Ovis aries: one gene and its partners. The protein of the gene in region 2 purifies or fractionates together with the protein of the main gene of each other region. This does not show direct contact. Links are inferred from orthologs where the notes say so. Each region holds a gene or a part of one and is shown on either strand. Other genes may lie near its edges. The genes, in order: SF3B4, ILF2 and HNRNPR.

Region 1 (10,398 bases), about 4.1 Mb from region 2:
GGGCTGCTGTCTATGGGGTCGCACAGAGTAGGACACGACTGAAGCGACTTAGCCCCAGCAGCAGAGTCTGAAAGAACCAGAGGGTGGAGAGATAAAGGAGAGTTTAGGGGAGTCAAACTTAATAACTAGAGGAGGCACTTGGGAATCACTCAATGAATAAAAGCTCAGAGATTCTGAGAATAAATGCCTGAGAAAACAGTGGTTTGAATAAAGACAGTAGGGAATTCAGCAAAGGCACTAATTTACTCTATGACAGTGTGAATTCATCAACATGATATCAGAAAACAGCCAGAAATGCCTCATAGGAGGAGTTCCCTGGTGGCCTAGTGGTTAGGATTACAGGCTTTCACTGCCACAGCCCAGGTTCAATCTCCAATCAAGGAAGTGAGATCTCAGAAGAATCCATTCATTTGATAGATAACCTGAAGGCAGAAAGCACACAGAGACTGAGACAAAGCTTCCCAACACCTGGGGATGCTCCAGTGTTGGCCTCTGGCGTGTGGGGCCAGGATCCAGCTGCTGGCTATGCCAGGTTCCAAGCATTTCTGGGACCTCAGTTTATGACCACATATAGCAGAACTCTGCTTGAAATTAAGGTGGTCAGTTCGTCCCCTTGTGACTCAGAAGCCTGGTATCCAGTCATGCTGTGAAATACCGTGTCTAATCTTCCCCCAAGTTTTTAGTTTGGCCAATGTAAGCGCTGCATGCAGGCTCTTAGTTCCACGAGCAGGGAGGAAACCGGTACACCCTGCAGTGGAAGCACAGAATCTTAACCACTGGATCGCCAGAGAAGTCCCTCCCCCAAGCTTTTGACATATGTAATCAGACATCCACTAGATGACTCAACCTGCACACCTTCCAACACACTACAAAGTCAACATACCCAAAACTGTGCTTATCATCTTTATCCTGCTTCCCCAAGTTCTTCCTGCTGCATACTCTCATCTTTGATTCCACTCTTCCTTTCATTCATTGTATCCAATCTAATACCACGTCCTAACTTGCCTTTTAAGTATCTCCCCACTGGAGGCTTCCCAGTGGTAAAGTGGCAGAGTCCACCTGCCAATGCAGGAGAATCTGGTTCTCCTGGTTCGATGCTGGTTCGATCCCTGGGTTGGGAAGATCCCCTGGAGGAGGAAATGACAACCCACTCCAGTATTCTTGCCTGGGAAATCCCATGGTCAGAGGAACCTAGAATTCTTAAGCCAATAGTGTAAAGCCTGAAGCATCCTATCTGTGTGCTGTTTGAAATGGTTCTCTGTGCCACAATGTGAGAAGGGCTGAGAACTAATCTTTGGGCACTCCCTGACTGGTTCTGACCTCATCCTGCCTCCAGCACTGAACAGCTTTAGCTTTAGCACATTACAGACTATGCTATTTATCAGTCTTTTACTTCTGCTCAGAAGCATCCCACAGATCTGGAATGAGTTTCCCTTCATCTTAGTCTGAGAAGCTTCTAACCTTCAAGATCATTCAACTATCATTTTCCCAGAAAGTTTTCTTGGACTTTCAAGCCAGGTTGGATACCCTTCCTTCCGCTCTCAAAATATTTTGTTTCATAATAATCTCTTATATATCAGTCTACTGCCCTGGTGGCTCAGACGGTAGAGACTGCCTGCAAGGTGGGAGACCCAGGTTTGATCCCTGGATTGGGAAGATGCCCTGGAGAAGGAAATGGCAACCCACTCGTGTTCTTGCCTGGAGAATTCCATGGTCGGAGAAGCCTCGTGGGCTATGATCCATGGGGACACAGAGTCAGACACAACTGAGCGACTAACACTTTCACAACCCCCTGGTAATGATCAGACAGCAGAACTGCCCTGCTCATCTTTGTATCTTCAGTGGCCACCAGCAGAGTCCTTGTGTGTACGATATTACCTGAATGAGAACGATGCAAAAGAACAAGAGGGCCAGGCTTACCTTTTCTTGCCTGGAGTTTAAGAAAGTTCGTGGTTACATAAGCCATAAAGAGCTTTGGAGAAGAGGATGATATAACGGGATTAAATGTGGCAAAGGAAAGAATAGGCCATTGGATTTGATCTAGTTACTTAAAGTCTAAGCACAGATTTAAATATGATGGAAATCAGGTTTGGAAGGCCTGAGGAGAAAGGAAATAGGAATAAGATACAAACCCCTTACCCAAGATATTTGGCAGTATAAAGAACAAAAGAAAATGAAGGATTACTGAGTTCCTACAGTCCCATTGCAATTACTTTGCTACCATTTAAGATACATGGTTCCACAATAACATAGTATTGGACTTGAGAAATCCAGTTTCCCTCCATATTCCTTCCCTTCCCCCAGTGGGTATCAATTTCCATTAGTTTATGGTTTATCCTTCCTTTTTCTGGCCGTGTAGCATGAGGGATCTTAGCTCTCCGACCAGGGATTGGATCTGTGGCCCTTGCAGTAGAAGCAGATAACCTCTGGAGCTCCAGGGAAGCCCTATCCTTTCATTTTTAAAATAGAGACAAATGTACAACATACATTATGTGTCACCCTTTAGATAAGAAAGCACATTATGCCTTCTGTTCTACATGCTACTTTCTTCACTTAATATAGCCTCGTGATCTCTCCAATCAGTGTGTAGAGTCTCCCTCATTCCTTTTTACTGATGCTTAGTATCCTACTGTATAGATTTACCAGTTTATTCAACCAGTCCCCTACTGACTGATATGAGAGTTGTTTCCAATCTGTTATTGCAAATAGTGCTGCAATGAATAGCTTTGTGCATGTTACTTCCTATTTTTGCCATCTTATTTCTAGGAACTTTACTTCTATTCTAACTTAGTACTCACAACAACTATGCCGTAGATACTGGGTCTTCATCTTATGTATAACTTTGATGTAATGAATCAAGTGCTGCAGTACACAGCAGTCCAGCATTTGCAATAGCACATTATAGAGTAAGTCTTTAAAACTTGGAATAAACACCCTCACTCCTACCTTACCGTTCTTCTCCCAATATACGGACATCTCTTCTCAGAGAAAAAGAAGTTATTCTGTCAAGTTAAGCACCACAAACGATAAACAAGGAGTTTAGTTTAATTTTCTCTGGGTATTTGTAAAACACTTAGGGCCAACATAGGAAAAAATAAAATAAAATACAGCCTCCTGTGAAAAAATTACACTTACAAAAGAAAGGCCTGAGAGGGATTAGTGCCTTAGCCCCTCGGAGCTATAGCAACTCTGATTGGTCCAAGGAAGTGAATAGATATTGGGAGGCTACAACAGGAGGAAAAACAATGAGAAATCACTGAGGGAGAGGGCCTCGAAGTGGGCCTCGAGGGGGCACTGGAGGTCGGGGAGTAGGTCTGGGTGGAGGGAGGGGCCCCCGCTGGTAGCCGTAGGGTGGAGGTCGTGGAGGGCCAGTGTATCCATGAGGAGGCATCAGTGGAGGAGGTCCACGCATACCATGCGGAGGCATAGGACCTGGGTGACCTGCAGGTAAAAAAGGAAAACAAAGTAAAAACAAGGAATAGGAGACAGTTCATATTGGGACAATGTAAGGAGAGGATACACTGGGAGATAGTGAAAAGAAAGAGAAGAAAAGAAAGTGCAGGGGATAAGAGGTGTGACAAAACAAGCTGCAAGAACAATATGTGAGGATGAGGGAGGTGGCTAAAGACTACTCACCCATAGGAGAGCCAAACGGAGGCCCTCGGGGGGGCATGCCCATTGGAGGAGGTCCAGGATGAGGCATTCCAGGTGGTGGTCGGGGTGGTGGCTGCCCCCCAGAGCCAGGCGGCCCAGCGTGGGGGTGCCCTAAGCCATGAGGGCCATGGTGGGCCAGCTGCATCTGAGACATCCCTATGAGAACAAAACAAGACACAGTGAGAAATGAGACAAAAGGAAGTTAGAAGACAGGAGGGCAAAGAAGACAGAGAAGAAAATGAAGAAAGTGACATCAGATAGAATACAGAAATTAAAGCTGGTAAAAAGTGCCCTTATCTTTGACTCCATCCCAAGAGAATAAATCAACCAACTACCCTACAGCTCCCCAGTCCCTGAAGCCCATTTGCTCCTTCCATGATTTAGGCATTGTAACAGTGCTGCAGAATGGCGTGATTATTCTACTGAATAGAATCTGGGAAGATAACAGAGACACTGTCACAGCAAAGATCTAATTCTAAAGGATGAACAGGAATTTTTCAGGTGGACAACAGAGTGGGAAAAGAACATTCCAGGCAGAAAAAAATCAGCAGGTGCAAAGCATGGATGTGATCAACAGCACAGTATGTTAAAGGAAACCCAGTAGAACAGCTTGTAGTCATGGGAGTAACAGGCAGGAGCCAGATTATGCAAAGCCTAGAATGCTATGATAGCGAGTTTGGGTTTCACTCTGTAAGTAAAAAGGAACAACCAGAAGAATTTTGAGCAAAGGTGTGTGAATATCTGTATTTAAGAAAAATTACTCTGAGATAGTCAATCAAAGTAGAGATAATTAGAGTCAAAGTGTCAGTTAGGGTATTACTAAAATAAATTAGGTGTGAAATAATGAGGATAGGAGAGCCTGGGCTTCCCAGGTGGCGCTAGTGGTAAAGAACCAATGCAGAGAGCCTGTTGTTCTCTTTGGTAAAACTTAAACAAGAAATGAAGACAGCATGATGGTTGTTAAAATAAACGGTAAAGTATCTTGCATTTTTTTCCTAAAAGAATGTCTGAAAGAAAGGAGAGCTTGGGCACTATCTATTATTGTTAAAGGACAAAGAACAGCAGCATTAAGTGCTGACAGAGCTCCTCCATCAAGCTCATCCCTCTCCTTCCCAGCAAAGAACGCTCACCTGGATGGGGCATCCCACCAGGTGGGAATGGGTGAGGATGTGAGTGTCCGTGTCCAGGATGTCCAGCCCCTGGGGTTCCCGCTGATGGGGGACCATGTCCTCCAGCCCCAGGAGGCATAGGTGGTGGTGGCATGGCTGGGGGTATCCCAGGAGGAAGGGCTCCAGGAGGTGGTACTGGAGGTGGGAAGGAGCCAGGAGGAGGCATGCCTATAGAGAAAATGGAAAAACAGTTAATGATAGTGAGCAGAGAGTGCCTTTAGAGAGCCTGTTCCACCCTGGCCTCTCCAGGCCGAATGAGCTCTTTTCCCCTCCTCCCAGCTCTCTGAAGTCAGCGGCAACATTAAGTGACTTGAACAACAACCTTCTGGAGAAAACTCAACAACTTTCTTCCCACCACAATCATCATCCCTCAACCCCTTTCTCATCACCTAATGACTCAATGTCCTCTCCTTGCCAGGTTATTTTTCCTTCTTCCTGGCCCCACCCTTCCCAACCCAACACAAACATTTTTTATCAAAAGCTTTACCTGGTGGAGGAAGCCCAGATCCCAATGATGATACCACAGGATTGGGAGCAGATGGTGGAGGGGGTGCATCTGCAAATAGCTGATGAGGGCGGTCAGCCTGGGAGAGTGGGTTCTGTGCTGCCAGAAGTCTTTCAGCGGCTGAGCCATGGCGCTCACCCTTGGAGTCCTTCTTGAATGCGTAGGACACAGTGATTGGGCGGTTACAGAGGTACTGCCCATTCATGGCCTCAATCGCTGCATCCGAAGCATCAAATGAAGCAAAATTAATAAAGGCATAACCTTTGGAGTTGCCTGTGTCAGGGTCCCGCATAATCTTGGGGGTTTGTAAGATGACCCCAAAGGCGCTAAAAGTATCATAAAGCAACTTCTCATCAATCTCCGGGTCCAGGTTCCCAATAAAAATGTTGGCCCCCACATCCAGGTTTTTGTTGTGAGCTGATGCCTTGTTCACCCGTATTGGCTTCCCATAGAGTTTGATCATGTTCATGATCTTAATGGCATAGTCAGCATCTTCCTCACTCAAGAATTCCACAAAGCCATAGCCTGGGGAAGTGGAAAAGAAGAGGTTAGCAACTGAAGTGATTTAAAAACGAGTTTATAACTCATTTGTCTTCTAAAGCACAAAGGATAAGAAATAATAATCCCAACTTCAATTGAGAATGGTTCCAGAAACAAAATCTTTAGTTTGCTCACTCCAAAACTTAATATCACTGGAGACCTCCAGGAGCAGTCTGTCCCTTTCATAGATAACTGTACTTTTTGCCGTGTACTCACCTTGGTGCTGACCAGTGACTCTATCCTTTGGCATGTGCGTGTTCACTACTGGTCCTGCCTGGAGAAATAGTTCCCACAGCAGTGGTTCGCTAACCTTCTCATCGAGGCCCCCCACGTACACAGTGGCATCTGGAAGACAGGATTAAGAGGTAAGGACAGAGATGAGGGGAAATAGGGAGGTAACGGGAACATGAAGATGGAACCCAGGCGGAGGAAGTGGACGTGGAGATGGGGTAGAAAAGCGAAAAAACAAAAAGATGTTAGATTAAGCTTTTAGAAGCTCCTCCTTTCCAGAAAATAGACAATCTTATGTCTAATTTAGAGTGACGGTGCAAGTTCACTCTGTAACTTTTCTTTTTCTTTTTTTTTTTTTTGAGTGGGAAGGCAGCAGAGGACTGGACACAGCATCACAACTATAGGCCTCAAGTCTGTCCATCCCGTCCCCATAAGGCATCGGGACCAGTCTGGCGCCCTTCGGAAAGGCAAAATCTCCCGCCCCAGCGGAAACATTGCTGGGCCTAGTCGAGGTCCCTCAAACCCCCAGAGTCCATTCTGGGTCTGTCCCCTCCAGTCACCCTGGTTTCGCTCGGAGATCGGCCCGGCAGCCATGGCGAAAGCGCTCCCGCCGTCTCCAGGCAGCGATCCCGCCCCCTGACCTCAGTCACTACTTCCGCTTCCGAGGCGAAGGCTGACGTGAGGTGGTGGGCGGGGCCGCGGCAGGGGAGGAGCCGGAAGCGGCCTCGGCCATCTTAGGAGACGCTGAGACTGGAAGCGGCTGAAGTAGCGGTGCGCTTCGGTCCACGCTCCCGTGCAGAAGTGCTACTATGAGCGGACGCGGCGGGGAAAGTGAAAAGGAAACGTTCTGTCTCTTTTAAGGCAGTGCTAGAAGTTAAAGGGTCACACTGCTCCCGAAACTGTCACTTCAGAAGCTGGGAGAACAAAACTTTAGTTTTCATGTGTTTTGTAGCCTTTTTTTCCCCCTTAGAAGGGTGTACAGAGGAACCGCTCAACGCAAGGCGTGGGGAGAACCGTCCATCCCAACCCGCAGTCCTTGAACAGACGCGGCCTCACAGCCCAGGCCTGAGCTTGAGGTATTTCCTTTTTCCTCAGGGAAGGAATTGTGGAATGTCTGAGCTCGCCTAGTCACTGCATAGGAGGGGAACCTGAGGTTCGGAGGTGGGGTGGTACCGAAGTTTACGGGGGTTTGATACTGAAGCCCAGAGGCCGAGGCCGAGGCCGAGGCCGAGGCCTTCAGAGCACACCCTGAACTCCAGCAACCTCTGGGCGTGCCTTTGCCCTGTCTACACGGAAGAGAGGACCTTAAATTGTGAATCCTGCAGCGCCTCACGCAGCCCAGCCCCTTACTTCCTTAGCAGTAATATGGTCGGTACCGTCCCTTCGTGGGTCACATTCCTTTCCCTCCTCTCCCACCACTCCCTTACCTAAGGTTCCTTTAATCAGACACAAACAATGCCAGCGGCGTGTATAAATATTGTGCTTTAATGAACTCCTTAAATAGAAATGTCACAATGAAAATATATAATTGGAAGAGATAGGGTGTCCTGTGTATATTCCATACCCATAGAAAACTATAAGGGAAGAAATAGAAATTGGAATTAAGCAGCAAGAGGAGGTGAGAAGGAGGTCTGTAGGCCATCTTGTTGGCACTGATAAACAGTATATCTGATTATCACAATTTACCAGCGCAATATCCAAAATTTCCATCCCAAAGACATGGAATTGCCCTGAAAAAGAGAGGCAGTCTTCTGGATTGTTGTTGTTTCTTAATTCTTCAAATGATAAGAACTGTTTAAACCAAACAAGGCAGGATAAGAGTTGGATAAGGTTAGCACCACTCATCCTCAATAGAAACTCAGGTCAGTGATCTTGTTTATGAAAGCTGAGGCAGCAAGACCAGATAAGAAAAACCGAAGGATTAGACAAAACTCTCCCTCACCCCAGACCACCCTCTGCCCTGCCCATGAGAAAGCCAGCAATTTCAACGGGATTGGGAGAGAATGGTATTTGGGTTTCTTTTCTTGGAGTGATCCTCGGGAGATATTCGTGGTGTCCATTTCCTTAATAACTCTTGAAGATGGGATAGCTCCTCCTGGAGACCAGAGATTGTGGGAGCTGAGAGGCCCATCTGGGAAGAGGGTGAAGAGAGGCAGAGAGGATCCTTAATTCTCTTAGTTCCCTTTCCTCCTCCAGCTATCCCCTAGGTTCCACTTGATATAAGCCAGAAGCAGTTTTCCCACACTCCCAAATCTATCCGCTTTGATACCAATAGGAATGGTATCTAACTTCCCAGTCCCCCAAACCCTTGCCCTTCTGCTCCTGGAAACATCTGGTTTCTCCTAGAACATCTGGTTCAAAAGTCAGACCCCTTCTCCCACTCCCAATTTTTGCCTTCCCTTCTCACCTGGACCTCAGGCCTTCCCCTCAGGTAGCAGCGTCTCCAGAGCCTGATCTGGGGTCCCAGACATCCAGGCAGCAGCAGTCCCGGGGGTAAAGGGCAAGCTCCCCAGTGTGAGGGGAGCCCCCACTCCTGATCAGCCAGGCTTTCAGAAGAGATAGCAGGTCGAGGGAGCCAACGAGAGGAGACTGCCAGCAGGGAGGGACTGTCCCGCCAAGGACAGAGTTGATTCAGGGGTGTCAGGGCCCCTCTAGAGAAGAGCCACACGGAACTGGGGGGCCCAGGAACCATGAAGCTTGGCTAAGGAGGAACAGGAAATCAACTGGCAACTTAGAAACCTGATGACCCCCAGTTTCCCCAAACTGGGTCATGAAGGAATGTCCAGCTGTCACCCACTGCACACTGTACCAGTTATCAAACTACAAGCCTTCCCCTGAGAACACTTTATCTGCTCTCCTTATTAGACTTCAAACTAGGCCTCAGGACTGATTAAAGTTGATTTTAAGGAAACATAAAAATGTGTGCATGAGACAAGAAGACTAATAAGGATGAGGAGGACCAAAAAAGATGCCATTTGTGATTTGTAGGATTTCTGTCTTCCTGGGGACAGTTAGGACTATAAATGACACCAGAGGGGGAATGAGGAACTCAGACACTATCACCTCTCCTCATCTAGTAGGATGAGCCTGTGAAAAAAATCAAAGGAATTTAGGAACTTCAGACACTTTACCTGCTGTCTAGGGAGCCAGGAATCTGGGCAGTGTTCTGGGTTATAGCCAGGATTACAGAATTGTAGTATTTGTTTATTGCTGTAGCGTAAATTCCAGTCCCAGACAGATAGTTGTGGGTTAATAGAGTTCCCAGCCCCTGGGAACCCAGGGGTATAGACTTGTGTATAGTTGTTGAACTAGACAGAGGAAACAAGAAGAGGAAGGTTAAACAAAAATATATAATCCTCCCCAGTTTAGAGATAAATCGTGAAACTCATCTTATTCTAAGAATCAGATGTAAGGCTTCCCTGGTGGCTCAGTGGTAAAGAATCCACCTGCCAGTGCAAGAGGCACAGGTTCAATCCCTGGTCCAGGAAGATCTTATCTACCTTGAAGCAACTAAGCCTGAGCACCATGACTGTTGAGCCTGTGATCTAGAGCTTGGGAGTCACAACTACTGTGAGCCCACATGCCACAACTACTGAAGCCTGCACACCCTAGAGCCCATTCACAACAAAAGAAGCCACCACAATGAGAACTCCATGCACCACAACTGGAGAATTTGCTGCAACTAATGTGAGAGTTGGACTGTGAAGAAAGCTGAGCACCGAAGAATTGATGCTTTTGAACTGTGGTGTTGGAGAAGACTCTTGAGAGTCCCTTGGACTGCAAGGAGATCCAACCAGTCCATTCTGAAGGAGATCAGCCCCGGGATTTCTTTGGAGGGAATGATGCTGAAGCTGAAACTCCAGTACTTTGGCCACCTCATGCGAAGAGTTGACTCATTGGAAAAGACTCTGATGCTGGGAGGGATTGGGGGCAGGAGGAGAAGGGGACGACAGAGGATGACATGGCTGGATGGCATCACTGACTCGATGGGCGTGAGTCTGAGTGAACTGCGGGAGTTGGTGATGGACAGGAAGGCCTGGCGTGCTGCGATTCATGGGGTCGCAAAGAGTCGGACATTATTGAGCGACTGAACTGAACTGAAAGAAGAGCCCACTCAGCAATGAGGACCCAGCACAGCCACACACAAAGAAAAGAATCAGATGTAGGGTGAAAGTCCAGTCCTGAAAGAAAGCGCCAACCTCCTCCCCCTTTCCCACCCGCAGACCACTTTTCATATTCAAGGGTAAACTTCAGAGAGTAGTTCTTTTGTTGACTAAACTGCTTGTGGGATCCTAGTTC
Region 2 (10,258 bases):
GAATGGGGAGAGAGAAGGGGAAGGGGCACAATAGGGGCCATGGGATTAAGAGGCGCAAACTACTACTTATAAAATAAATGTTACAAGGATACACTGTACAAGACGGGCCTTCTGTAACTTAAAAATTAAAGCAGTATGATTTTACTTCTATACCTAAGGCACAGAGCTGAAGCTATTGCCAGAATTATTCCCTTCTTTCCCTCAACCTAAGTTGCTTGAAGTGAAGTGAAAGTCACTCACTCATGTCTGACTCTGCAACACCATGGACCATATAGTCTATGGAATTCTCCAGGTCAGAATACTGGAGTGGGTAGCCATTCCCTTCTCCAGGGGATCCTCCCAACCCAGGAATCGAACTGGGGTCTCCTGCATTGCAGGTGGATTCTTTACCAGTTGAGCTACCAAGTACTTCAGGTAAAAAAAAAATCAAAATCCAGACAGAAAATCGGTCTAAAACAGTTGTCAGAAAGACTGGGTTATCAGGCTGTTCAGTGTAGTTAGGATTAGGATATATCATCACTCAAATAGGGAGGGACTCACGTGGACTGAGAAGCATTTTCCTCAAACCAGCGGGCATGTCTGATGGCTGCTAAGGCACTCTGTAACACCTTGATATCCACTAGAAGACAAGCATGACATCCACCAAGATGAAACATTCCGATTACTGAGCAAGCAATTCAATTCCACTGCCACACTCCAAGAACTCAGAAGGAAGACAGGATAACTTTGTAATCCCTTGAACTAATCCCCATGTCCCCAGATCAGCAAATCCCCAAATCACTGTTCCTCCCCTAAACCAGATCTGGAAGCATGAAAGAGCCCCAGTTTTCTCCAAAAGCCTACCCCCTCCATAAATATTTCCTCAGTCCTTTTTATTAAGTCCTCAAACTGCTTTTCTTGGCCTGGCTGTTTTTGACAATTTCATTAGCAAGCTGATAAAACTGCTTCCAAATTACAAAGGAAGACAGCAAAGTTTGGGGGTAAACTTGGGTCCCCAAAAGGTCTCATGTGGAATAGCAACAAATGAAATAAATTAATAGCACTTAATACCACATTTTTAATTTCCCCCAAATTTTACAGCAAAGGAATAAAAGGACTAACAGTGGAGTTCTGGGTCCAGTTTTCGGAGATTTGGTGGTACTGTTGTAATGAGAATCTTCACTGTAGCATCAGAAGAGCTGATTTCAAAGCCAGTTTCATTGGTCAGCATGGTCAAAACTGAAAGAAGAAAAATCAGAAGTTGCACTCACATTTCCATTAGATGACCAAAGGTAAATCCAGGATGAGGGTAGGGGAACAGATATTGTATTTATCTACTGATTTATCTAACAGATCTATCTATCTGTTATTATTTGTTATTTACTTGGCTATGGAATCTTAGTTCCCCAACCAGGGATCGAACCCATGCCCCTTACATTGGTAGTGTAAAATCTTAACAACTGGATCACTAGGAAGTCCCAGGTTTTTAAAAAACAGCAACAGTCCAGAGTCAGAATTGAGAACACAGAATTTTAAAAGCAAGGGAAATCAATTAGATTTTGAACGCTGGTGATCTCCGCTAGAAACCTCCCCAACATAAAACTCTGTGCTCACTCTTCCTTCTAGCCTGACCAGACTTTGTTAAATGTACTTATAAACCTGGCTTCTATGACCACTGTATTACATGTTCAGCAACAAACTCAAACCTTCAGAAGGATCCTGTGCTCTTAGGCTCTCCACAACCTTGTTTCCTAGTGCAGCAACAGCTTCCACTAGATTGAAAGAGAAAAAGAGATAATGAAGATTATAATTATTTTAGTAGACTTTCTATGTCTCAAAGCTACTCTGCACTCTGATTCCTGCAGAGCAACGAAAAGCAACTGAATACACACTTTTGCAAGGGGAAGTTTGTAAAAACAGAGAAACTGAAGGCTCGATGACACCTCCTCCTTTACACGCTTTTTTCCACAGTAGGGATTTTTATCAGTGGGACTAATGCCATTTTGGCCTGGATAATTCTTTGTTTGGGGTTGGGAGGTAGGGTCTGTCTTGTCCACTGCAGGATGCTTAGCAGCAACCTTGGCCTCTACCAGAAGACGTTAGCCTCAAACATCTCCAGACATTGCTGAATGTCCCCTGGGGAGCAAAGTCCGTCCTGCAGTAACTGGTCATACATTCTTTCACATACAGCACACCATTTAAATCCCTATGCCTCAAATCCAACTGCTATGTTCTGCTGCTGTGGCCAAAGAGAGGCACACTTACATGTTGGCAAAATCTTTAGGATCACTACCAGGTCAGCCACGTTGTGTCCTGTAGTCATCGTTCCCTTTTTATATGATCCGACTTGTCGGACTTCTTCAATTTGCTGTTGGAAAAGGGATTTAAGAAAGAAAAAACAAAACTTACAAGTGAGAAGCTTATTACCCAGATTTGGAAGTAGCAGAGTTCAAATCATATTCCAAAATGAGCAATGAAAAGCCTGATTCATTACAGCTAGCTGATAGCAATGATGAATCTGGTCCCTAAGACCAGCACGACAAAGGAATTCTACTGTACTTTCCCATTCCAAGAGTGGCTTTAAATAAGCATCTGAAGAATCAAGCGACAGGAACCAAGGAAACTTTCACACTTCCATGACTTCCCTTTCCTAGGACTAGATCTTCAAAAACTCACCACTTCAAATGTCCCTGGAGCCACAATCAAATTGTCAATCACATTGTTTATTTTTGTCACCAGGGAAAGGATAGAGGCCTGAAAAATAGCAGGAAACAAAAATACCCTCAGGTGAAATACCAAGCAACTTTTCATCAAGTTTGACTATTTCCCCAATTCCTTCAATAGGAATCAACACCTATACCGGATTCTGAAAGCACCCAGACCCTCCCAGCCTTGAATATGCCAGAAGAGAAAACTTTGATCCCAACGACAGATTCCCCAATAATAATATGAACGCACATGTAATCTGTTTATACATTCACTTGATGCTCTCCCTTTACACACAATGAAAAATAAGAATGATTAAACCTGTGGAGTTCAGGCTCTGACAACAGTAATCTCACCAAGTAGCTATTTACTTCTCTAGCTTCCTTCATGAAATCTCAGGAAGAAAACCAACAGAATATACCTGTTCAGCAGAATTAGGAGCAAGGTCCTGATTCCTCTTCAGCAAGGCCTCACTGAAGGAAGTTTCATCAGGTGCTGGCTTGACCCGGGGAAAAGCCATTTCACACTAAACAAGAAATATACTATATACTACTTGCCAAAAATAATATGCAACAGATTTTTCTGTTGCCACAACACAAAAAAAGAGATAATTCTACAACACTTATACTCTTGTGACCCTAATATTAACAGACAAGGCAGTGATACAATTAACTGTTCAGAACAAAGATTATAATCATGTTACTGTCGATTGTAATGAAGGACCTATCTTCCCCACCCAGGTTATACTTTTTTGTATGTAAAGCAACACAGATGACTCAAAACTTCCCTTTTTCTACTCCAACTACCACATGACTTCATTAACAGGGAGACACCAGGTTCCAAGAAACAACAATTGAATAGTGGCCAAAGTTAAGTTAGTTAAGTCGCTCAGTCGTGTCTGACTCTTTGCGACCCCATGGACTGTAGCCCACCAGGCTCCTCCGTCCATGGGATTCTCCAGGCAAGAATACTGGAGTGGGTTGCCATTTCCTTCTCCAGGGGATCTTCCCCACCCAGGGATCGAACCTAGGTCTCCCGCATTAGAGGCAGACACTTTAACCTCTTAGCCACCAGGGAAGAGACACCGTACTCACCAAATAGAAGTCAAATGGAATATGTGGCACAAAGGGCCTGAACCTAAAAAGCGGAAAAACAATCCAGATTACTCACCACATAAATCAAACTGACTTCACATAATGGGGCCAAACTCATTTATCAAGAGAGCATGAGAAGAATACTTCTAAACTACAGCTGGATCTCAACAAGGCAGGTAAGATACTCCACTCCTATTTAGATGACTGAAAGGGAAACCAACGGGCACAGATGCTAAGGACTGGCACTCACCCTCCTCCTGGGCCTCCTCTGGAACCAAAGCGCCCGCCACGACCGCGGCCTCTGTCACCCCTAGAAATGCATTATTAACATATTTTAACTTTCTTTTCATCTCATTGAAGCAATCTCCTCGGTACCGGCCGTATGATTTCAGGTTAGCCTACCTCTATCGCTCTGCACTTCCCTTTGGAAGCCAAAGGATCCCATTCTCACTTACACTTCTACACCTTCCAAATGTCCAGCCTCACTCCCCATGACTGGATAACTGATTCACATCAAACCACATTAAAGAGAGCCCTACAAGAAACATCCCATAATCGCCGGGTCCCGCCAACCCTAATACTTCGCAGACTAATGTGACTGCTTATTCATTCGTTCATGTAGTAAAAGCATCTATCAGGCGTATCGTGTATGTCAAGCAACTGGCATTGAGGATGAATGAGACACGTTCCAGCCATCTCAGTCTAAATAGGAGGTGTGGGGGTGCTCCTCCTGGAACCTGAGGACACCCTCTCATCTGAACCCCCCAGAGAGCGAACAGTCGGAACCGCCTCTCGACTCCTGGGCCCCACCCCCCATCCCCGGCCAAGTTTCCCCGCCTCCACTGCCCCCGACCTCCCCTTCTCTTAGAGCCGGAGTTCTCAGGTTTCCGTGCAACCCCCAGGTACATGGCCCTTTCCAGTCCGCCGACTCCTTTCGGACCAACTTCCTAAAGTTTTCGGTCGAATACCTGAAACCTCTCCAGGGCACCCCACAACCCTTACCTCATGGCGTCCTAGATCCCGAACAATGGAGGCCACACCAACCGCCCCTTTCCTCTGGGGAGCCGACAACTGGAGAGGCAGCTTGCCGGCGTGTCCCAACAAACTCCAGCGCGATTGGCTCCCGCCGTACTCCGCTGCTTGTGCCTATTGGTTTGCTTTGGCAAACCGGTTTATTGAGCCAATGAAAAGGGCCTGCTCTGTCAGTAACTAGCCAATAAGAACAGGTTAGACGTTAACGCCCTTTTGCAGACACTAGAGAGCGCTGTGTAAAGAAATTAGTGTGGCTGGCATCTAGAGACCTTTCTATGATTCTTGGGGGGTGAAAACGGCAACAGCAGAGTGGCGCAGCGGAAGCGTGCTGGGCCCATAACCCAGAGGTCGATGGATCGAAACCATCCTCTGCTAGCGGTGCTTTTTTAATTTTTTTCTCCTGGGACAGTTTTTCTGTTTTAAATTTCTTCAGTAAATGTAACTACCGTAATCCTACTTTTCTCTCCCTCAAAATATGCAGCCTTTAAAAGCTGTTTTTGCCATCAGCGAGTGAAATGGAAAAGGCAACCGAAATCATGTAGGAAGGGATTTTGGGTGACTGTGAACACTACATGTCTGGATGTGGTTCACAGAGGCTGAAGCAGAAGAAACGGATATGAGTATGTATGTTGATTGACTCAGGGAAAGTACTGATGGTGAGGGACTAGAAGGGAAACTGAGACAGCCTTTGGAAAGAGAGCTCAGAAAAGGAGGGCAAGGGAAGCGACAGGAGAGAAGGACCAGACCGCTGCCATTTTTTGTCGTTTCCTCTCCTTTCCTCATTCTACAACCTCTCTGGCGGATTCCACCTTTATGCAAAGTTTCACAGCCAAGTATATGGATATACTGTGGTTGCATTTACATCAATTCATATTCAGTTCAGTTCAGTTCAGTCGCTCAGTCGTGTCCAACCCTTTGTGACCCCATGAATCGCAGCACAGGCCTCCCTGTCTATCACCATCTCCCGGAGTTCACTCAGACTCACGTCCATCGAATCGGTGATACCATCCAGCCATCTCATCCTCTGTCGTCCCCTTCTCCTCCTGCCCCCAATCCCTCCCAGCATCAGAGTCTTTCCCAATGAGTCAACTCTTCGCATGAGGTGGCCAAAGTACTGGAGTTTCAGCTTTAGCATCATTCCTTCCAAAAGAACACCCAGGGCTGATCTCCTTTAGAATGGACTGGTTGGATCTCCTTGCAGTCCAAGGGACTCTCAAGAGTCTTTTCCAACACCACAGTTCAAAAGCATCAATTCTTCGGCGCTCAGCTTTCTTCACAGTCCAACTCTCGCATCCATACATGACCGCTGGAAAAACCATAGCCTTGACTAAACGGACCTTTGTTGGCAAAGTAATGTCTCTGCTTTTCAATATGCTATCTAGGTTGGTCATAACTTTTCTTCCAAGGTGCTTTTTGTCCTTCCTATAATCCTGTTTATCCTCCTTGCCTTCTTTTGCATTAATTACTGTTTATTATTCCTTCTCTGCTTCTGTCAATTGAGAGTTCCCACTCCTTTTCTACATTTCTAGTTGTTATCCTAAAAATTATGACGCGCCTCCTCGATTGCCAAAGTCTAATTTTATGAAATCTTTTCCCTCCTCGAGAAAAATGCAAGAAAATTTAATTCCGTTTACCACCATCACTCCCTCCAGGATTGTATATATTGTTGTGTAACCCCTTTAAGTACTATATTGGTGTATTATTTACTACAGCAGATTGCACAGATCTTAAGTCTACAGCTTGATTAATTTTGAGTAATAAATTTTTCCCAGGTAACCACCACACGATTAACATAAAACATTTTTATCACCTCAAAAAATTCACTGATACCCCTTTGCCCTTCTCCTAGAGGCAATCGCTATTCTAATTTCTATTATCAGAGATTACTTTTGTCTGTTGTTCACATAAAAGGGCTCACATCCTATGTACTCGTTTTTTTGTCTAGCTTCTTTTGTTTGACCCATTTTAAAATTCTTCTGAAGTTTTGCGTCTGTCAGTAATTTGTTCCCTTTTATTATGAGTCGCATTCCATTGCATAAATATTCCACAGTTTGTTATCCATTCTCCTGTGTTGAATACAGGACCTCTGACTGGCTGCTGCTGCTAAGTCGCTTCAGTCGTGACCGACTCTGTGCGACCCCATAGACGGCCTCCTACCAGGCTCCTCTGTCCCTGGGATTCTCCAGGCAAGAACACTGGAGTGGGTTGCCATGTCCTTCTCCAATGCATGAAAGTGAAAAGTGAAAGTGAAGTTGCTCAGTCGCGTCCGCACTCTTAGTGACCCCATGGACTGCAGCCCACCAGGCTCCTCTGTCCATGGGGTTTTCCAGGCAAGAGTACTGGAGTGGGGTGCCATTGCCTTCTCCGCTGACTGGCTGAGACACAGGCTAATATATTTGGGTTGTCTCCAGTTTGAAGCCTTTATGAATAAAGCTGCTATGACCATTTTTGTACAAGATTCTTGTGAGATGCAATTGTTCCTATTGGGTAAGTGTTGGTGTATATGTTTACAGAATTTAAATTCCATATATATTTTCAATCCCATAAGACATTAATGCTTACTAAGACAATGGTCACTGAGATTTACCATTTTTAAAGCTTTTTATTCCTTCCTGTATCCACAACACTATGGAATAATACTCCTTGAGAATTAGTGCCCTTCTGCTGGTGGCTAACTTTCTTGTTTTCAGCTTCTCTGAATACATTTTTATTTCACCTTTGTTTTTGGAGGAAATTTTCTCTAGATATGTAATTCTAAACTGGAAGTCATTTTCTTTCAGCACATTTACAATATTATTTTACTATTTATGGCTTCCATTTTTGCTGTGAAAAAAGAGTTGTTAGTCAAATGATTGCTCTTCTGAGAGTAACCAATAGTCTTTTTTCTGATTGTCTTTAAAGATTTTAAAGATTGCCAGGAGAAATATCAATAACCTCAAATATGCAGATGACCCCACTCTAATGGCAGAAAATGAAGAGGAACTAAAGAGCCTCTAGATGAAGGTGAAAGAGGAGAGTGAAAAAGCTGGCTTAAAACTCAACATTCAAAAAACAAAGATCATGGCATCTGGTCCCATCATTTCATGGCCAATAGATGGGGAAAAAGCGGAAACAGTGGCAGATTTTATTTTCTTGGGCTCCAAAATGACTGGGGATGGTGACTGCAGTTATGAAATTAAAAGACACTTGCTCCTTGGAAGGGAAACTATAACAAACCCAGACAGCATTTTAAAACCCAGAGACATCACTTTGCTGACAAAGGTCCCTACAGTCAAAGCTATGGTTTTTCCAGTAGTCATACGAATTTAACAGTTGGATCATAAAGAAAGCTGAGCACCAAAGAATAGATGATTTCAAATTGTGCTGCTGGAGAAGACTCTTGAGAGTCCATTTGGACTGCAAGGGGATCAAGCCAGTCAGTCCTAAAGGAAATTAACGTTGAATACTCATGGGAACGACTGAAACTGATGAAGTTGAAGTTCCAATATTTTAGCCTCCTGATGTGAAGATCAGACTCACTGGAAAAGTCCCTGATGCTGGGAAAGATTGAAGGCAAAAGGAGAAGAGGGAAGCAAAGGATGAGGTGGTCAGATAGCATCACTGACTCAGTGGACATGAATTTGAGCAGGAGATGGTGAAGGACAGGGAAGGCTGGAGTGCTGCAGTTCATGGGGCAGTTCATGGGGTTGCGAAGAGTTGGACATGAGTTAGCGACTGAACAACAATCACAGTGTCACACAGTAACTAATTTGGTTTATATTTAAAAGTAAGACCAAGACTTTTTCAATTACACTCTCACATCCAGAAAATTGTATTATATAGTAAATATTTTCAATGACAAATAAGTGATGCCAGGTACTCACTAATGGATTTAATTGATCCTAATACCATAATCAGTGAAGGACTAGGAAGCCTGGAGTTTGCAGTCCATGGAGTCGCAAAGAGTTGGACATGAGTCGACTAATTGAAAAAGACCCTGATGCTGGGAAAGATTGAAGACAGAAGGAGAAGGTGGGGACAGAGGATGAGATGGTTGGATAGCATCATCGACTCAAGGAACATGAGTTTGAGCAAACTATAGGAGACAGTGAAGAACAGGGAAGCCTGGCGTGCAGCAGTCTATGGGGTCACAAGAAGTCAGACACGACTGAGAGACAAATCTTTCATTTCCTGTAGTTTCATTGTGATGGTTCCAGGTATGGATTATTCTTTTTAATCTTGAGATTTGTTGAGCTTCTTGAATCTGTGGCTTGAAGTACATGTTTTTTTAATTTTCTCAGCCACTGTCTCTTTAAATATTGCTTCTACCCTAGTATTTCCCTCCCTCCTTGGCTCCAAATAAAGGAGAGCCAGACTTTCTCATGATATCTTTTATATCTGCAACCTCCTTTTCTTCCCTCTAACCTCCACTTTTATATTTTTCATTCCTTTTTGTCCATGCTTCGTTCTGAGTGGTTTCTTCTATGCTTTCTTCCAATTCATTACTTACTCCTCACTTGAGTCTAACTTGCTCTTAAACCCATCAATTGGTTCTTAATTTTGGGCTTTTGACCATTTCAAGACTGGATTTTCTGTTTACTTCTGGTTTCCCCTACTCCTGGGTTTCCCCTAAGAGTGCAGCCTTTCAGGACCCTAACCCTAAATAGGAAGATGGTTTCCCCGGGTGATCATCTTTGGGGACATTTGGACTCCAACTTTTGTCTCACTTTCCCCATGTAGCCTATTTTCTGCCACCAATTTTGGATCCGGAAACGACTCCAGGGGGAAAAGGCCTCCTACTGCTGATCTCCTGCTTTCCTCTCCTTTCATGCTCTCACTGTCTTCCTAGACTGTTGATTTTCAAAAGCATTTCATCTATCATTTTTTAGTTATCTTCAGCTCAGCTTGAGGGTTGGACAAATTATTTAAGCCACTATGGGTAAAAGGGAAGCTCAATTACTAAGTTAGATTTCTAGTCTAGTTCTCCTGAGTTCCAGTTCCACTATTCCAATGGCTTATTGGATACCTCCACTTGGGTATCTACAGGCGCTTCAAAACCAATAAACTAAAATTGTTACCTTCCCTCCCAAAACCTTTCAGCTTCTCAACTAATGGGTCAGTGTTACCTAGACTTCAGTTATTGGTATGCTGTATTCTTTTCCTGAATTCCAATTCGTTCTACTTCTATCGCCCTATAATGAACAAGACCACATTATACATTTCAAATTTTGTTGAAAGGGTAGACCTCATGTTAGGTGTTCTTACACACACACACACACACACACACACACACACACACACACACACAAAAGGACACAAGGAAATTTTGGGAGGTGATGAAAATGTGTATTACTTTGATGTTGTGGTGATGGTTTCATGTCCAAGCTCATCAAACCGTAATATATGTTACAAATGTGCAGTTTATGGTATAACAGATATACTTCAATAAAACTGTTTTATTTTTTTAT
Region 3 (10,275 bases), on a different chromosome or scaffold from region 2:
CCTTCTCAAGAGCAGATAGCCAGTTTTAGGGAAATAACACAGACCTATTCTATGAACAGCAGTAAGTTTAAAAAAATAACCATTAATGCAAATAAAGGTCGCTCCTATTATTTAATATATAAGAATGGGAGTGTGCCATTTTCCACATGAGGAAAAAAAGGTACAAAGAAGTAAAAACTGTAAGTTGTATTTCTTGTCTAAAACATGATGGAACTGTACAAACTTCAACATTAACTATTTCAAATGGAAAAGTCTATCACTACAGCAAAACACCAATATCCATTTAACTAAAGTATGAGGTTCACTAGTCTTACTAAAAGCCCTGTATTTTCCTTTCAGTTTATCTAAATGACAACAACAGTAACAATAATGGCTCACAGTTATACTGATCTCCCCACAGTCCAGGCATTATGTATTATATGTCAGGGCACTGCAACTGCAGAGAAGCCCTTGCACTGCAACACAAGACCCCACATCCTGCAAGGAAGATCCCTCGTGCCACCACCAAAACCTGACCCATCCAAAGAAAGAAATATTTCTAGAGCATTTGATATCATGATTAAATTTCATTACAACTACCCAACTCAAGTTTTACCTTGATCTTTGCTTCATCAGGTCCCTTCGTGGACTCTTGCACCTTGCTCCCCTGTTTCTCCCTTTGCCTGTAGGTCTTCATAACTCCACATAAAAATGCACTTTTGTTCTAGAACAGCCAAGTAATTCAATGAAAAATAATTACCAGGAATTGTTGAAGAGTCAAATATACAATTAAATTTAAATTTCAGAAGAACAAAATTTAAACAAAATATTCACTCATTTCTTAACTCAACAAATACTTGCTGAGTAGCTGCTATGTGCCAGACTGGAACTGACAGCACCTAAGACATATAAGGCCTCTGGGGAGCTTACCCTCAGCGATGGCAAAATAGTCTTCCATTTGCTGATATTTAAATGCATCTGGGCTATTTTTGCCAGATGTCCTGAAACTATTCCTCCTGTCTACACTATTTCCCACCAAGAAACAAAACAGTTTCACATAATCCAAAAATGTCACAAGAAGTGGGAGACTTTTACTTTATACTTGCGTTTCTGAAAAATTTTTGCCATGTAGATTTTTTTAAGCTATTTTTTTTTAAAGAAGCAGAAGTAGTCACAAATAAAAAATACCACTTATCCACAAAAAAAGAGTAATAGTAAAATAATTTCAGATCATTAGTTGTTCAAAGACTTTACTGGATAATGTCCTTACCTGAACATGTGATAAGTCACTTTCCTTGAACTGCTGTAGTACAGACAGAGCTCCTTCTTCATTAAATTCCCTGAGAGCATCAATTGCTCTTTCATCAAGATCGACATAAGCTACCAATCCTAAAAATTAAATTGAAAACAGGTAACATTATTGCAACAAAGAGGATAGTCTAAACTGAGCTATCAATGTTCATCGAGAATTGCTATATTCAATACTATCACTAACTACATTTTCATTCAACTATACGCATATAGGTCAGCTATACAAATACTATATAGAAAGATCAAGAGTACAAATATGAAAACAAAAGACACAATGTTAATATCTACAAACAAATTTCAATCCCCACATCCCACAAAAAAAAAACTCTAACCCCATTTCCCACTCTCCAAAATGTTTAAATCTTGGAAGTTAAATCTGATGTACATACACACTGTACTACAGATTAAGCATTAAAATAGTAAGTTCTGATTACGTTAGCGTGGTTTAAAAAAAAAAACAAAACACTGTATTTCCCAAGAATCAACCTTCAGATTATATGGACTGCTGGAGTTGTTGCTAACCACCCAAGAAGTGCGGGAAAAAATGAATTATTTTTGCTAAATAATTCTTCCCACTCTCCAACAAGTGTCAAAGGCTTTCCCTCCTTAGCACCAAAGATAAAATGAAGTTTCATTTGTTTTGAGCATCTACTTTGCTGCAGTCAGAATGTGGAAAGGCATATTTTACATTAAATTTTTCCTATAAATGCAAGTGCAGCTTGATTAATCAATTCTGAAAAGTCATATTTTAAGGCATTTTTTGTTCTTCACAAGTGTCACACTGAGATTTTAAAAGATGCTGTAGCATTAGCAACACTGTCAACAATGACAATTTTTTTTCAAATGGCAGTAAAAGGACTTTACTATGGACTTAAAGCAAAGTATATAAAAAATATATGCACTGCATTCTATATATACATATAGTATATTTAACTGCACAAAGAACATCTACTATGTTTAAATATAATTTAAGTCTGTTAAATTTTATATTTCTGAATATATTTCAGAATTGATCCAAAGTAAAATGGAAATATTTGGCAGATTAAAAGCCCCAAGTCCATATGAACTAACATCAAAAGTGACTCCATTTTGGTAAAGCCAAAAAGAACTTTATTCCATAATATCACTTGCAAAGTTACTTTAAAAAAAAAAAAAAAAAGATGCCATGATGTAAGAGCTCAAAATGAGCATGCCAAAATAACTGGCATTTCCTTACTTGACTATTCCATATCACCACCCAAAGTCACAACTCAGGATACCCATCAATCACATTCTGTCAATCCAACCCTACACCCAAGCCATCAACCTCTTATCAATAACAAAACACTCTACAAGAGAGCATCTCAAAGCAGATCACTGCCAATTCTCTATGGCAGAACATCAAAGAAAGCTTCTGAGCACTGATTTTCAAAGGGACCATCACCCAGGAGTCAGTCTGAGAAGTCATTTTAGTGTCTCAATGAGCTTTAGCTTGAGCTTCTCGGATTTAAAAATAAATAAATAAATAAGGACAAAAAAAACAGTTATTTGTTACTACAGTACTTAAGACACAGTCTGTGAGACAATTCCATTTTCTCTCCCAGAATCTGGACAGGCACACAAAACACAGAGGAAGAACGCTTCCATCTAATGGCCCCAAAGGGGGAGGACATATTTATTTATGAACAATGCTCTCTAATGGTATATATATTTCTCTCCCTCTTTAGAACTTCAAACCACTTACAACCACCATATTAAAATGTTCAAATTTGCTTAAGCACTTAACCATGGGATTCTAGATTTAAAAAAAAACACAGCTGTTACAAACCAAACACGTCCAAATTACTGAGAGTTGTAGATTTCTGTCTGTCACAAACTGGACAGGCCACCAACTCTCAAGGAGTCTGACATTTTATTATCATTTCAGACAATACCATCTAACTAGTCCTCTTATTATGCCACCTAAATAAGACCTAAGCTATTTTAACAATCACTTTAAGAAGCTAAAGGTAGAAAAGTAAAAGCAAAATGACAACTGATTTAGATTAAGAAAAAAATGTAAATTTGATATGCTGAAACACATTTTAATTGATGGTAAATCTAAGACAAATTGATGTACTGTTCTGAAACAACTCAGACTGCATATTCAACACTAAGGCTTCAAAATAATGAAATAAGAATATCAAAGTCAAACCCAATATGCCCTCAATGAAGGGAAAGTAACATTCAGCTCTACATAGATCAGAAACAATAAGTAATATTTAACCTTTAAAAATCTATAAAATTCAAAGTGGTTTGCCCTCACTTTCATAACCAGTCAGAAACAAGAAATGTATATTATACCTGTCTGAAATATTTCATCAAGTCTTTCTGCCACCTTCTGAGGGAGGCCTGCCTCTATCAGTGTCTTGTAGTGTTCTGTGTGATTTACACTGGAAGTATCCATTGGTTCTTCCTCTTCTTTTAACTGTACCGCATTACCATTCACCTGATTAGCCATTTTATTATGCTGCTGGAAAAAATTCAGGAGCTATATTACATTAAGCCAGAAATAACTAGTTTGTAGGACAATGCATGATTTATCTAATTTGTATACATGCTGCTAATAACCTCTATCGAAATATTATTTCTGATGGCTTTTCTGATGTATCTGACCTAAATTTGCGATAATTCTGTAAAACCATGGGAAATGTACATGGAAGTGTTGAATTTTTAAGGAACTTCATGTACACCAGGTTAGAGAAAAGCTTGAATTTATTTAAGGTAGAATCACTAATTAACAAAAGCAGCAGTTGTGTCCTGATGAGCTTATCAACAGATCATCACAAAATCCTAAAAAGCCCCTCAGCTCTCAATTCTTAAACAGTTTTAAAAAGTCTGGTTTAAAAACAGAATGAACACCCACGACAACTTAAGGTTCAAGGACTTTCAAACTTTACTAGCTCTGCTTCAAAACAACATAGGTGTGAAATAAATGCCCTGTTGTCTCTAGTTCAACATGCTGCTGGTTTGGGTTTTCTCCACCTAACTTAAAAAACACAGCTTGACATTAATTTTTGTTCTAAAATTAATTTGCTATTCCCATTCACAGATTTAAAAGAAAAAATGACCAGGTTTAAAAGCTAAATGATTGTTTTAAGTCCACATAAAATAAAAAGTGAGCTGTAGTTAAGGTTGCTTCTTTTTAAACTTAGGTCAGATGTCTCAGATTTACCTACCCAAATCATTTTGGGTGTTCAACTTTTATGTAATGCTGAAATGGATCAACTCCCTGAAGAGAGATTAAATAATAAAACCATACAAGGCCAGTCTCTATACTAGCTCCGCAAAAGATAGGGAATTAAAGTGCATTTGTCTGTGGTGAAATTATAATGTGATGAAGATAATAAGCAGCAGAATAAAGACATTGCAACAAATACTGAAATAAAAGACATGAAGGTGGATTTCAAGGAAAAGCCTACTTTTCCTGATGAAACTGAAGATACCTAGACAGCTGTAAAGAAAATACAAGTTTCCTAAAAAGCACTAAAATCCATACCTAAGATAACCACACTTCCAGACTGCTTATCAAAACCCTGTGCAAATACACCAGGTGCAGTTTTTCTGACTTAAAACAACTTCAAAGCCCCCTGATATTTCGTTGAAGTTAATGAAAAAGGAAGACTGAGGAGGTAACAGAAAGCAGGAAGAGAGGAAAAGGCACAAACTGTTACTCTGAAAATGAGATAAACAGTATTATAACTTCTTATGATTACAAAACATTAAGACTTAGTAACCCACTAATGTCTATATAGAGGCAGACTCCGTGGTTAATCTCTGGGTGGATAAATGTTTCTCAAGGCAAAACTCAAACTCTGATGAACTGGCAAAAACAAAAACATTCAAAACTGACACTTTTGATAAAGAAACTACTTATAGTGTAAGATGAATAGTTTACTGATTAGTACAACCTACTTCTATAAAGAAGCCTTCAAGTCCAAAATATTTTTGGGAACGTATAGTTGTTTTCCATGCTCACCCACCCTCAAATACGACCATAAGATAGATCATTAGAACTCAAAAGTTCTCAGTATCACAAGACCCTTGCGGTATTGCACCTGGGAATACTATCAATCACGGAAAGAAAGCAAATTTTTAACAGAAAAGTTCAATGAAAATCTGTTAAGGTGGTATTTTTAAAGTTATGTGTAAAGCAAAAAGACAAGTTGTGTATTAAGCACAAGACAAATATTTATGACTATCATTCACTGCAAAGGCTCTCTACAAGTTGATTTTTAAATTGGTTGAAATTTTCAAAAAATGTCTGTAAACTTTAACAAAAAAGTACAACTATTAAGAGAGTCCAGAAAATAACACCTTCCAGATCAAGGAAAAAGCTCTCTTCAAACCAAATATAATGCGCTCATATTAAAAAAAGACTTTCATGTCATATGACCATTTAAAACTCTTGTGTCAATTCAATGCCACACAGCCAAACCATATTTCTGGATGCAGCAAATATATTAATATGATTGATGTTATTTGATCTAAACTTTTTTTTGCAAAAAGGAGAAATTAAAATCAGGGTCGCTGGGAAATTTGGGAAATCTGGCACTAGCCCCTTCCTTTTTTTTTTTTTTTTTTTTCTGAACATCTCGTGAAAATAATTCTCATTTTAAGAGACCGGCTTTTAAGGATCCAATGAAATGAAAACTAACGGTTCTCTCATGGCTTAGGAGTGTCAAGCCCTTATCCTACGACTGACTCATGAGACATAAATTTAGACTCCGGAGGACAGCAAAAAATCTGAAACAGGTAGTGTGGAAGGGGCTGAACCCTTCAAGATCCCCGTGGCTTCTTCGAGTCTTAAAATTTTGGCAATACGGTTTCTATCGCAGAAGGAAAAGAGAATCGCCTTTCCAAGAGTGCGCCTATGGCATTTAGACTTCGGTATCTCAGGCGCCGCTCGAAGCCTAAGTTTCATGGCCTCTAGTAGTCATTTTTTCCTTCAAATCTCGACTTGCAGCATGCAGAACTGGGGGAGGGGGGCGGCTGGGGAGGGGAAACGGAGGCCTTTTCCTACACACACTGGCCTCTCGGCCTCTGCTTCACACAAAAGTTTTCTCCCGGCTCGGCTCACCCGGGTTGGCATCCCGCCCTCGGCCCACCCCGGCCCATGCCGGTCCTGACCATCAACAAACCCCACGGGCGGCTAGGCCGGCTGAGACGGGGAGCAAGGCGGGGCTCCGGCAGGGAGAGGCGACGGGGTCTATCTAAAGCGGGGACTGAAAGCGGCCGACTCGGCCGCGTGGAGCGGCGGGCGGAGGCGGGAAAAGCGCGGCGGACCCGGCAGGCCGCGCGGAGGGCGCCCGGCGGGCCGGACCGCGGGCCTGGGCTTGGAGGGGAGGCGGCGGGTGGCGGGGAGAGCGGGGAGGATGAGCGAGGGCGAGGAAGCGCCTCGGCGGCGGCTAGGCCCTCCGCTGAGCAGCCGGACGAGGCCGAAGCCGCCCCCAGCCCATCCCCACCCCCACCCTGGGGGCCTCGGAGCGAAGACGAAACTGGGGAGCAGGCGCCGAGCCCCGGCCTGGCCCGGTAGGGTCGGATCGGGGCTCCCGGCCCCTCCCCCCGCGGGCCGGCGCGAGACTCACCAGGGCAGAGCTGGGGCCGGTGGCCGGGCCCGTGAGAACCAGCGCGAGGCGCTTTGAAAACGACTAGAAATGGCGCGCGCACCACCCCCTCCCCCCCCCGTCACGGACCGAGACGCGATCCCGGCAGCACGCGGGGTTTCCCGGAACTGCTTCCAGGGACTCTGAGCTGCCGGGCAATCACCTCGCGCGGCGGCCTGACGAACAGCCCAGACAACCAATAGCAGAGAGAAGAGGCGCCCCACGCCGGACGGCTCAGAAGCCAATCGCGGAAGCCGTCGGCTGAGCCAATGAGGGAACTCAGCGCCGCCGGCTGGGGCGCCTCCGGGGCGGGGGCAGGAACACAAAGGGGTCTGTGGCGAAGCCGCGAGTGGTAGGCGAGGCTGTGGGGCCGCAGGCCCAAAGTGGCCGAGGCCCGCCCCCTCTCCCGTCCCTTCTCGTCTGCCGCCCGCGCGAGGCCGCCCCCGGAACCCCGCCCCCTACGGCTCGCATCGGCTCCATCGGCCGCGGGCCCTCGGGCCTTCCCGCCCCTTCACCGGCGTGTTAACGCCGGTAATCCGCCTCCCAGGGGCAGCCGCCGCCGCCGCGTTCACCCCGGACACGCCCACCGCCACGCGGCCGGGCCTCTTCTAGGTCGTTTTCTGGGCTCCAGTTAGAGCACGCTGTAGGGGTTTGGCTCGTCTGTTTTGCTGGAGAATTTCTTCGCGGAGAAAAATCATCCCTTGGAGCACTCAGAAAACTCCCTCCTTGGCTCTCTTCCACACATGGTTGGGAGCAGCTCAGGATGTGAGGGAAATCGCTCAAGTGGGCATTTACTTAAGAGTCATGTTAGCTACAAATGACAGAGCTGAGACCTTTCTGCGTGGGGTTTGGAGCTAATTCATATTCACAAAAGAACATTGGGCAGGTGTATGCATCTACGAAGCCAAAGGAACCGTGCAAGGAAAAGAGCTAATTCCCAAAGGAGGCTAAATCCCTTTTTTCTTAAACATTTCTCACCCTCCACCCCTACTGGTTTGTCCCCTGTTCCTCGCTTTAGTCCGAACCTCACTCATCCCACGGCCCTTCTTTCCCCATCTCCAATGCCCTGTCCCTCTCCAGGCGAGAAGGAAGCCAAGCAGTGGCCTGAAAGATTTCCAGATACACTTCAAGGATAATTTAAATTTCCCGGAAACTATCAGCCAAAAATTAGCTGTTGAAAACCTATGCATTCGGTACTGGGCTGAACGTCATGGACAACCCAACTTCTGCAGCGTGGGGTGTGAAATTTATGCAAATGATTTTACTGTTTAGTAGCTAAGCCATGTCCAACTGTTTGTGTACCCCGTGGACTACAACACAGCCAGGCTTCCCTCTCCACCATCTCCCCGAGTTTGCTCAGACTCGTATACATTGAGTCCGTGGGGCCATCCAACCATCTGATCCTCTGTTGCTCCCTTCTCCTGCCTTCACTGTTAGTCAACATCAGGGTCTTTTCCAAAGAATGGGTTCTTTGCATCAGGTGGCCAAAGTGTTGGAGCTTCAGCATCAGTCCTTCTAATGAATATTCAGGGTTGATTTCCTTTAGGATTGACTGGTTTGCTCTTGCTGTCCAAGGGACTCTCAAGAGTCTTCTCCAGCACCACGTTTCAAAAGTGTGAGTTCTTCAGTGCTCAGCCTTCTTTATGGCTCAACTCTCACATCCCTACCTGACTACTGGAAAAACCATAGCTTTGACTGTAGACATCTTTGTCAGCAAAGTGATGTCTCAGCTTTATAATACACTGTCTAGGTTTGTCATAGCTTTGCTTCTAAAGAGCAAGCATCTTTTGTGCTTAGTTGCTCAGTTGTGTCCGACTCTTCGCAACCCCATGGACAGAGGAGCCTGGCAGGCTGCAGTCCATGGGGATTCTCCAGGCAAGAATACTGGAGTGGATTGCCATGCCCTCCTCCAGGGGATCTTCCCAACCCAGGAATTGAACCAGGGTCTCCTGCATTGCAGGCAGACTCTTTAACCAGCTAAGCTACCAGGGAAGCAAGCCCATTTCATGCAAATTATAATGTAAATTAAAATGCTAATTTTATAATTTGAAATGATTAATATAATCTTATGTAATTTTATGATTATATATATAAATTATAAATAATTTTATAATGCAAATTAAAATGTATATGCTAGGATCCTTAAGAAAAATAATATAAAATGATGAATACAAATTTAGGAACAGAGTCTAGAAGGGCATGGTAAAGGGACTTTGAAGTTTAAACTTTATTAGCTTCACATAAATCTGCATCTAGCTCGAGGGTTCTTAACCTATTTTGTGCCATATGAGAGTCTGGTAAAACTATGGATCTTTTGTGTTTTTAAAAGAGCAAAGTAAAATAGATTGCATTATAAAAGAAATTTTATGTTGAAATACAATCAGGAAATACATATTTAAGACATTTATGATATAGTAAAAAGCCTCTTGATGAAAGTGAAAGAGGAGAGTGAAAAAGTTGGCTTAAAGCTCAACATTCAGAAAACTAAGACAATGGCATCTGGTCCCATCTCTTCATGGCAAATAGATGGGGAAACAGTGGAAACAGTGTCAGACTTTATTTTGGGGGGCTCCAAAATCACTGTAGATGGTGATTGCAGCCATGAAATTAAAAGAAGCTTACTCCTCGGAAGGAATGTTATGACCAACCTAGATACCATATTAAAAAGCAGAGACATTACTTTGCCAACAAAGTCCGTCTAGTCAACACTATGGTTTTTCCAGTGGTCATGTATGGATGTGAGAGTTGGACTGTGAAGAAAGCTGAGCGCTGAAGAATTGATGCTTTTGAACTGTGGTGTTGGAGAAGACTCTTGAGAGTCCCTTGGACTGCAAGGAGCTCCAACCAGTCCATCCTAAAGGAGATCAGTCCTGAGTGTTCATTGGAAGGACTGATGCTGAAGCTGAAACTCCAATACTTTGGTCACCTGATGCGAAGAGTTGACTCATTGGAAGACACCCTGATGCTGGGAGGGATTGGGGTCAGGAGGAGAAGGGGACGACAGAGGATGAGATGGCTGGATGGCATCACTGACTCGATGGACATGAGTTTGGGTAAACTCTGGGAGTTGGTGATGGACAGGGAGGCCTGGTGTGCTGCAATGCATAGGGTCGCAAAGAGTCAGACATGACTGAGCAACTGAACTGAACTGAATCTTTTTCTTTAAACATCAAGATCTTGCAGCAAGATAAACTACTGAAATTTTAAAGCAAAAAGGTATTTCAAGAAATCCCACAGCTGGAATGCGATATTAAAATATCTGTTATTCCTATTGGTGACAGAATGAAAATTACCGCTAACTGTGGTTTGTTTCCTGTATTCACAGTGGGGGAAAATGCTTAATTTCAGCAGTATATTAACA

The links.
Region 1: the proteins of ILF2 (region 2) and SF3B4 fractionate together in Homo sapiens (co-fractionation; 3 studies listed by BioGRID, with this or other methods). This does not show direct contact. The link is inferred for Ovis aries from reciprocal best matches to the Homo sapiens genes ILF2 and SF3B4.
Region 3: the proteins of ILF2 (region 2) and HNRNPR purify together in Homo sapiens (affinity purification with mass spectrometry; 3 studies listed by BioGRID and IntAct, counting the BioPlex papers as one, with this or other methods). This does not show direct contact. The link is inferred for Ovis aries from reciprocal best matches to the Homo sapiens genes ILF2 and HNRNPR.

Annotation. Positions count from the first base shown.
Region 1 is NC_056054.1:100,029,359-100,039,756, forward strand, and holds SF3B4 (splicing factor 3B subunit 4), read right to left. Parts: upstream 6,731-10,398; 5' UTR 6,694-6,730; coding exon 6,660-6,693; intron 6,214-6,659; coding exon 6,085-6,213; intron 5,854-6,084; coding exon 5,311-5,853; intron 4,992-5,310; coding exon 4,785-4,991; intron 3,811-4,784; coding exon 3,637-3,810; intron 3,442-3,636; coding exon 3,254-3,441; 3' UTR 3,028-3,253; downstream 1-3,027. UniProt on the Homo sapiens protein: Component of the 17S U2 SnRNP complex of the spliceosome, a large ribonucleoprotein complex that removes introns from transcribed pre-mRNAs.
Region 2 is NC_056054.1:104,110,137-104,120,394, forward strand, and holds the start of ILF2 (interleukin enhancer-binding factor 2), read right to left. Parts: upstream 4,838-10,258; 5' UTR 4,787-4,837; coding exon 4,782-4,786; intron 4,090-4,781; coding exon 4,030-4,089; intron 3,823-4,029; coding exon 3,780-3,822; intron 3,212-3,779; coding exon 3,107-3,211; intron 2,734-3,106; coding exon 2,656-2,733; intron 2,348-2,655; coding exon 2,245-2,347; intron 1,752-2,244; coding exon 1,686-1,751; intron 1,219-1,685; coding exon 1,102-1,218; intron 620-1,101; coding exon 541-619; intron 1-540. UniProt on the Homo sapiens protein: Chromatin-interacting protein that forms a stable heterodimer with interleukin enhancer-binding factor 3/ILF3 and plays a role in several biological processes including transcription, innate immunity or cell growth.
Region 3 is NC_056055.1:243,234,600-243,244,874, reverse strand, and holds the start of HNRNPR (heterogeneous nuclear ribonucleoprotein R), read right to left. Parts: upstream 6,992-10,275; 5' UTR 6,897-6,991; intron 3,782-6,896; exon of another isoform or gene 3,779-3,781; 5' UTR 3,770-3,778; coding exon 3,613-3,769; intron 1,369-3,612; coding exon 1,250-1,368; intron 704-1,249; coding exon 596-703; intron 1-595. UniProt on the Homo sapiens protein: Component of ribonucleosomes, which are complexes of at least 20 other different heterogeneous nuclear ribonucleoproteins (hnRNP). hnRNP play an important role in processing of precursor mRNA in the nucleus.